Xenopus tropicalis: one gene and its partner. The protein of the gene in region 2 interacts with the protein of the main gene of each other region in a biochemical or structural test. Links are inferred from orthologs where the notes say so. Each region holds a gene or a part of one and is shown on either strand. Other genes may lie near its edges.

Evidence for each region.
Region 1: the proteins of jade1 (region 2) and kat7 form a complex in vitro, tested with the Homo sapiens proteins (2 studies listed by BioGRID). The link is inferred for Xenopus tropicalis from reciprocal best matches to the Homo sapiens genes JADE1 and KAT7.

What each region holds. Positions count from the first base shown.
Region 1 is NC_030686.2:14,519,430-14,523,253, reverse strand, and holds part of kat7 (histone acetyltransferase KAT7), read right to left. Parts: coding exon 3,767-3,824; intron 3,393-3,766; coding exon 3,303-3,392; intron 3,209-3,302; coding exon 3,068-3,208; intron 2,356-3,067; coding exon 2,262-2,355; intron 1,488-2,261; coding exon 1,341-1,487; intron 1,249-1,340; coding exon 1,142-1,248; intron 531-1,141; coding exon 429-530; 3' UTR 1-428. UniProt on the Homo sapiens protein: Catalytic subunit of histone acetyltransferase HBO1 complexes, which specifically mediate acetylation of histone H3 at 'Lys-14' (H3K14ac), thereby regulating various processes, such as gene transcription, protein ubiquitination, immune regulation, stem cell pluripotent and self-renewal maintenance and embryonic development.
Region 2 is NC_030677.2:64,096,243-64,100,619, forward strand, and holds the start of jade1 (protein Jade-1), read right to left. Parts: upstream 2,925-4,377; 5' UTR 2,710-2,924; intron 1-2,709.

The DNA of each region.
Region 1 (3,824 bases), on a different chromosome or scaffold from region 2:
AAATGGTATAATTCATTATTTGCAATGAACATTGTTTCAATTTATAAATAACTACCCTTAAAAGCATGACAGAATCCCTTTAAAACAACAAGTGACAAACAGAGCAGTTACCGTGGGCATTCAGGAAGGCAGAGATGTAAACTAAGCTTGTTGCTATGCCAGCTTGACTGTGGCGTGGAACCCACTGGGGTGATGCTGGAGTTAAGGAGAAGTGGAAGGCATCCAATGTGGAGCAAATTACCAGGATGATAAGCAGAGCGAGCGGGTGTAACTTTCCAGGGAAATTACAGAACAATGCCCTACGTGACACACAAATGCTTATAATGCAGCAAGCGGGAGAAAGCTGGAGCTTCCATCCCAAGATAGAAAGTGTGCATAACGAACAGATGGGAGAATGGTAATAAATGAGAGTCATGGCAACATTAGGTTTAAGTTCCTTTAGGAGGTGTCCATTTTAGACAGCTAGGGTCCATTGTTTTATTGCTGTTGGTTCTCTTTGCGTCTTTGGATGCCCATTCATCAATCAGATCCTGTGTGGTTTTAGAAAAAAAAACAAACAAACAAAAAATCAACTTAGGATTACTGTGTAAGATTCTGCAATAACATAACTTAATAGAACTGATTAGGAAATACCCACAAAACATGTACTGTAATGATTCTGGTGGATTCGGATATCTATAAGCTGCTCGCAAAATGTCCAGACAATTCTCTATGTAAAAGTAAGGAACTATGATCGCCTAGAAGCAGCCAGGATTTTTGACTGCCCGGGCAGGTAATGTAAGTAACACCAGGGACCCAAGATTGTATGAGGCCCAAGAAGTTGTGTAATGCAGGTTAATAAGTCTCAGAAGGCCTATCAAGTACCCGATAGTGGCCATGATGACTACTGTATGTTCCTCTATATTATATAGGTAACAATCAGGAGTACTGTACACTATATTGATATTAGACGTTATTTAATGACCATATGAAGGCAGGCCAAGTGCTTTTATACAAGTCACAGAACTATAGTGACTCCTTCTAAGGGTCTGACATGACTGAGCACATTTTATCCAATTATATCTTACCGCTTATCCTTGGGCTCCTGCATATTAGGATCTATCTTCTATGTGAAGGGAACAAGAACTTATAGTAGTTTTACCTGTCTCTTTAACACCAAGTGTTTCCCCTTCCAGTACTTGAGCATCTGTAGGGCCTGCAAGGTGCTAACTATATCCACTGGATTCACTGCGGTCTCCTGGCTTATCTCTGGAAGAGGAAGGAAGGAGGAAATGGTCATTATGCCACAAAATATTCTCCCTCTGCACAATGACTTGTTCTAGAGCAACAGTAGAACACACCTTTGATGGAAATCTCTTTGCCTTGAAAATTGTGCAAGTAGCGGAGCAGAACTTCTTTCCAGTAGCTGCGGTAGCTGATGAGACCAAGGTCAGAGAGAGGCCGCTCCGGTGAACCCACTTTGTCTTCCACCTTAGACAGCAAGTAACCTGTGGGCAGAACAGAGGCACTTTATATGCAATTACTTTATATTACCTGCTGACTGAGAGTTAAAGGAACTGTAACACAATTTTTTTACATTCAAAATATCCCTTCTATATACTTTCATTATCAAATATATCATACAAAAATTTCAACAGCAGTAGTAGTTTTTCTTAGAAATCTTACTTTAGCACTGATTTATAGAGAGCAGGCAGCAGTTCTCGCACCACACTTCCGTTCCGCTCCCCCCTCCACCCCCCCTCCCTCTTCATGCAGGCACACACAGCGCTACTTCAAACAGCGATGCAGACTTATCTGTAAAGAAGAAACGGTACGTCTCTAATCCCCTCTCCTCTCCCCAACTGCTAATAGCCCATAAATCACACAAAACGGACTCTGAAGAATGCAGCATTTAACTTCCGGATTAAACCGGAAGTCGCCGTATCGCCTTTTCAAGCTCTGCACAGTAAGGCATTGGTAATGTAATTTATTTTGAAACCATGTAGAATATTCAATTTTTTTAAATGCTACATATCTTAATAAAGTATTTAGAAGGGATATGTCAAAAGTTATTTTTTTGTGTTACTGTTCCTTTAATATGTAGCAATCCATATAGAAAAGTCCACATTAAAATTAAGTCACACTGAAAAAAAGGCTGCTGGGGAAGAGATTAGCAGCTTGTGAATTCAATTTAGATGTGGTGTCTGGCAAAGAGTGAGGCAACGAGGTCTTGAAGTTTATGCAGAGTAATGGAAAGTAATGCATGGAAACAGAATACTTACTAAAGTCTATCAGCATCTTGCCATAACCCTGTCTCATGTACTGTGGCATTGTCAGGATACAAGACACATTGTAGTTGAGGAAGGAGTTCTTCTCCTAGGGAAAAAATAATTTATTGGATACAAATTAAACAACCAGACTGATTTTCATGTTATTTTTCCCACAATCAACAAGCAATATGTGCACATAGGTATCAGCATTGTACAGGTATGGGATCTGTTATCCGGAAACCCGTTATGCAGAAAGTTACTAATTACAGGAAGGCCATCTACCATAGACTCCATTATAAGCAAATAATTCTAATTTTTAAAAATGATTTACTTTTTCTCTGTAATAATAAAACAGTACCTTGTGCATTATCCCAACTATGATACAAATAATCTTTATTGAACTATCCTATTGGGTTTATTTAATGTTTAAATAATCTTTTAGTAGACAAGGTATGGAGATCCAAATTACGTAAAGATCCCTTATCTGGAAAACCCCAGGTCCCGAGCATTCTAGATAATGGCTCCCATACCTGTATATGCATTTAAACCCATCTGTATATATGCATTTGTTAGTGTGTTAATTCATAACGTGACTGTTATATTTGCTTAACAGGCACAATATATTTCAACACTCACATCAGTCAGATCTGTCATGCAGAGTCTACATAAGAGAATTTTAAACAGCCACCATTTCTTAGGCTAAATTATAACAGGGCCTCACGTGGAGCCAACTAAGAACTCCAAGCACATTTATTCAACCCAGCTTTGTTTTATTGTGTGACCCAACAACAGCCACAGCCATGCTTATAGAGGGATACCTTGGAAAAGTAGCCAATAAGGTGACAGCCAGTGTTGTCTCCCTCGGTCATGACATAGAAGAGGAATGGTTCCACATCGTAGTATAGTGTTTTATGGTCCAGGAAAAGTTTTGCAAGAAGGCACAGATTCTGGCAATATATCTGTAATTGGAGAGAAGGTTTAATGGCACTGTGTTTTACATTACCAGGGATCAACTGAGGCTTGCGCATTCGTCGAAGAATCTCGCAAACTTACCTTATTCTTTTTTCCGTCTACTTCAAAGACGGAGATGGAGCCTTTACGATAAATCTCATCCCCTGGTGGATGCTTCCAAACACATTTAGCCTAGAAGGAGATATATTGATAGGAAGGTTACACATTAAAAAGGTTCTCACTTACAACAGAGTTACTGAAGGTAGATTTGAGCTTAGGAATGTGAGACTGGAGCAAAATGAACTGCGAACACCAAGAAACCTGCATTTAACCACACACACAAGTTGACTGTATGTATACACCATTTAGCAAATGTTCTTTATATTTTTAGTTTATGCGAACAGGCTTATTTGCAGCCCTACATGATACGATCACAATGCTGCAGTCGGGCAGAAGAGCATTTTGAGGGCTAGGGCCAAATACGTAAGAAGAACTAGATATTGTGGACTACTACAGACTGGCTACAAGTGTTAAATTTACTAAAGCAGGAATGTGTTCTGACTTACCATGTGTCTGCGAAGGATCGTCTGGCTCTTCATATACTTGAGACAGAATTCACACATA
Region 2 (4,377 bases):
ATATGAACAGGAGAGGGGCTGAATAGGAAGATAAGTAATAAAAGTAACATTAATAATGCATTTGTAAGCTCACAGAGCAATCGTTTTTGGCTGTTGGGGTCAGTGACCCCCATTTCAAAACTGAAAGATATAGAAGTGGAAGGCAAATAATTTGAGAACTATAAAAAAAAATAAAGAAAGAAAGAACACCAATTGCAAAGTTGCTAGTAACAGGACATTCTATAACATACTAACAGTTACTGTAAACATAAACCACCCCTTTAAGATGAAACAAAAATTAATTAGTGAACAAGAATGGCACAATACAATACAAATTTCTGTTCTCACAATAATATTTTTTGCCAGTAAATTTAAATAATAATTTTATTTTTCCTAACATATTTTACCCAAAATGTTCAAGGGCATTTTCTAAAATAGTTTTTGCTAAATTTCATAAAAAATAAACTGCCTGCCATTCAAAGGGTTAAACATAAACTCCAAGACACATGGAGCGATTGTGGCGACTTTCCCGCCATAGGGTACTGCATAAGTCACTGCAACTAATTGCGTGCATTTTTTTTACAGCGTGGATTAGTCGCCATGATTTTTTGGCTAATTGCTGCGTGTGTCTTAGCCCTAAGGATTCTACAATGGAAGCAGTATGTTAGGAGCATTGAATGAGTTAAGTACCATGCACATTTACATGTTGTGTGTACAAGGGATCAAATGACATAGTCCATCCTTTACAGGAACGTCAGTAGGAGGGTGCATAACAAAGATTCTGACCAGGTGCTTTCTTTTTATGGATGAAGTCCAAAATGGGTGAAGTTTATTTGTGAAAGGTGATATAAAGTGACAGCTGGCCATGACACAGTGTCGTCGTAACCATGACGTGGGCACACAGCAGTAGCAGCAATGAATGAGACAAAAGCTTTTTCATATTTTTTTTTTTTTGTTTGTTAGTTTTTAAACAATCTTAACTTTATGCTCCAGAACTTACTTTCAATTTCTAGAATGTTTTGCAACAAGATGTGAGTGGTGTATTTTTGTTATTTTGGTATTTCAGCACATAAACAACTTATAGCACAGTAGCACACATGCAGTCACTCATTATAGGTTAGACAAGCTACAATATTCTGGGCCATATAAGCTGCAATATCCCCAGGCCATATCATTTCAACCACAATCTAGTCAATTAAGCAATCGCCCTGTCTAGGCCACAGCTGTTTTTAGCACAGTGATGCCAGACCCGCAGAGTAACTTATGACTCACCCATGGAGGTCGGTCTCTGTAAAACCGTTACATGGCACAAAGCCATGTCACAGATCTAAAGAGCAACCAACACGTGTGAAAAGTATGCTTGTGCAAGGGTTACTGATACGTGCACCAGGGTTTATGATGACTGGCCTTGCTGCCTAACCATTTGCCACGGCAACAAGAAATAAATATGTGCATATATATTTGTATTATTTTAGTTGCAATTACACTTCTGCATGTTAAGCTGCAACTCTGACTTGCAATAAGTGTTTTGGGTTAGTGGTTTTATTTAGAGGGACTTGTAAAATCATGTCATAATTTTAACAGTTTTCATACATGAACAAAAGGCATACAAGTGTCCATGAGACAAAGTGTTTTATTTGATAGTAAGGCTCTAAATCCTTTTTGTGCAAGCATGCATACATTAGTAAGAAGTGCGCTAACAGGAGATCTCAAAAGTGCCAAAACACATTCATTTCCCTACAAGTGGATGCCATACTCAATCCATGTCCCTCTAAGATGCGTTTCTGTACACTTAGGGGCCCATTCATTAAAGTACTAATCCGAATCACGAAATCCGATCATTTCTGATGATCGCAAATTTCCCGAAATTTTTTTCCGTCTGAATACGAAAATTTCATACTTACAATCCAAAATTTTCGTATTGAAACAATTGTTTGCAAAAGGCACGAAATTGTCGTATCCGAACGATCGTAAACAGCAGGAAACCCTTTCTGACTTTGAAACTTCAATGCATGATTTTGGAAGCCTCCAATAGGACTCAATGGAGGAAAGTCACGATACAGAAGTTTGAATAAATCCGAAACTTTCGTACTCGTTGCAACAAATACGATTTTGTCGCGTAAATTGTCACACAGTACTAAAAAAGTTGCATAAAATATGCACAGTTCAAAAACTTAGAAAAAATAAAACAATTTTGTATTCGGACTGAACCCTTATACTGGCTTATATCCAGTAAAAGCCACCAAATGCACATACCCCTTTAGCCTGTTGCCAAAGATAATGATCCACTTGGGTTCTATATTACACACACTGGGAAGTGTAGTACAAATTTGGAATGCAGAACCCTGAACAATTTTTGAAAGGAACCACACAAGTTTCCTTCCCATTGGTAAAGAACGCTGGGAGCTATAGTTTACAAATAAATAGACAAGCTGAAGTTGAAGATCTTGGCCCTAACGCATGATACATTTCTATCATTCTGGATCCATCCCCCCTATGCGAACGTTTTGGCCGCACTCCTACTTCTGTGTGCCCAAATCACAGAGGACAAAACTGGCCTAAACACTAATACAAATGCCATGATGTTGGCAAAAATTGATTCAAAGTAACAAGTTCTACACCAGTGTCAATGGATTTACCCATGAGTCATGCCAAAGCTGATCAGAAAGTTGCATTATTAAAATACTAATAATAAAAATGTAGGCTGCGATGTGCAAATGCCTCACTCACCATGGAGCCCATGAAACCACTGAAATAATTGTGAAAGTATTAATCCTGCAAGCCCACCAACTCTTGTTGCACAAGATTCCACATTAGTAGTTTTACTCCAGCCTGAGCCTGAGCCCTGCCTGTACAACATCCCTGCCCCATATGCCGCACATTGCAGCAGCAGCAGCATGGGATGTACGCAGCGGGTTACATAAGTTTCTGCGCTGCCTGCAGGCATCCATACTATCGGCTAATTAACCATAAGGATTAGATAAATGGCTAGTTACTGAAGGATGAGCTTACAGTCCTACATAGAGGGACACCTAATGGCAGGTCTTAGAACACCGGCCGTGAGTCCATTAACCCGGACCTACCACACCGCGGCCACGTTTCCTAGAAGTATCGCTCGGAGCAGGGACACCTTGCGGCACTGTCACACAGTCACACAGACACATACACACACAGACACACTCACAAGTGAGAAGCAACGCGCCCTCTCAGGCGGCTCATGATGCTGACACAGCAGCGCGCATTCACACCGATGTTTCGGGCCGCCGGGGCACACAAATGGTGTACGTGCGCTTGGCATATATATAAAGCTGGCAAAAGTTGCCACTATCGCCCCATACAAACTATAGGAACCGCGTACACACCCACCCAGCAGCCTAACAACTCGCTACCCAACAAGCCCCGAGCCCCCCGCTAACATTAGCAACAAGCAAATCTTTTGGCGCCATATTAATGACGTACTCGATTATTTTCCACTAGGCAGCAGCGACCTTGGCAGTGTTCAAACCACCCGGGCTCGCCCCCAACTCGCTGAAAAGCCCACACAGGCGTGCAACAAGCCTGTTAACGTGGAGTCCGCCCTCCCCGCACTCTACTTGCTTGACTCTTACCTGCTCGGGTATTCCTGGCTACCTCCGCCGGGCTCGTATAACGTGTCCCCCCCCCGCAACCAGATGGGTGATCCTGTGCTCGTAAGGTTCAGCCCAGCGGCTGTGGTACTGAGGGTAAGGGGGGGGGGACAGATTGTGTCTCCTCTCACACACATGCACTCTGTGACTGACGTTATTTACTTGTTATGGAGGAAGGACTCTGTGAATCAAACTCATTTCTGGGTCACTGCTGCCACAGGGGGGAGCACTTTGATCTTCTGCCAAAACAGAAAGGAAAAATACAGGGCAGTGGAGGGAAGTGATGTTTCCTAACTGTTCTAGAACCTGTCACATATTGCAAAGTTAACACATTGAGGTACTTCGCAACCTTAACTTTTTTTTGGAGGGTATGACCACATTATGCGTCAAACTTTGTGCCAATGCTGTTTGTATTCAACATGGTATAATGTATTGCATGGGAATGTGCAAATGGATAGTGTTATGCACATTATGTCGCACATTTACTTACGAACGGGCCGAATGCGTCCGATTGCGTTTTTTTTCGTAGTGATCTGTATTTGGCGATTTTTCGGAAAATTGTCGCAACTTTTACATTGCCATTCCGAATGTTGCGCAAAATCTGCCGATTTTTTCGTAGCGTTACTACTTGCGCAAAAAGTCGCGACTTTTTCATAGCCTTCGCGCCGAGTACTAAAGATTCGGATTCATTCAAGCTTCAGTATGGTGACTTTTCTTGGGCCAGGTTGGAGCTGCAGGGTGCCATTGAGTCCTATGGGAGGCTTCCAAAATC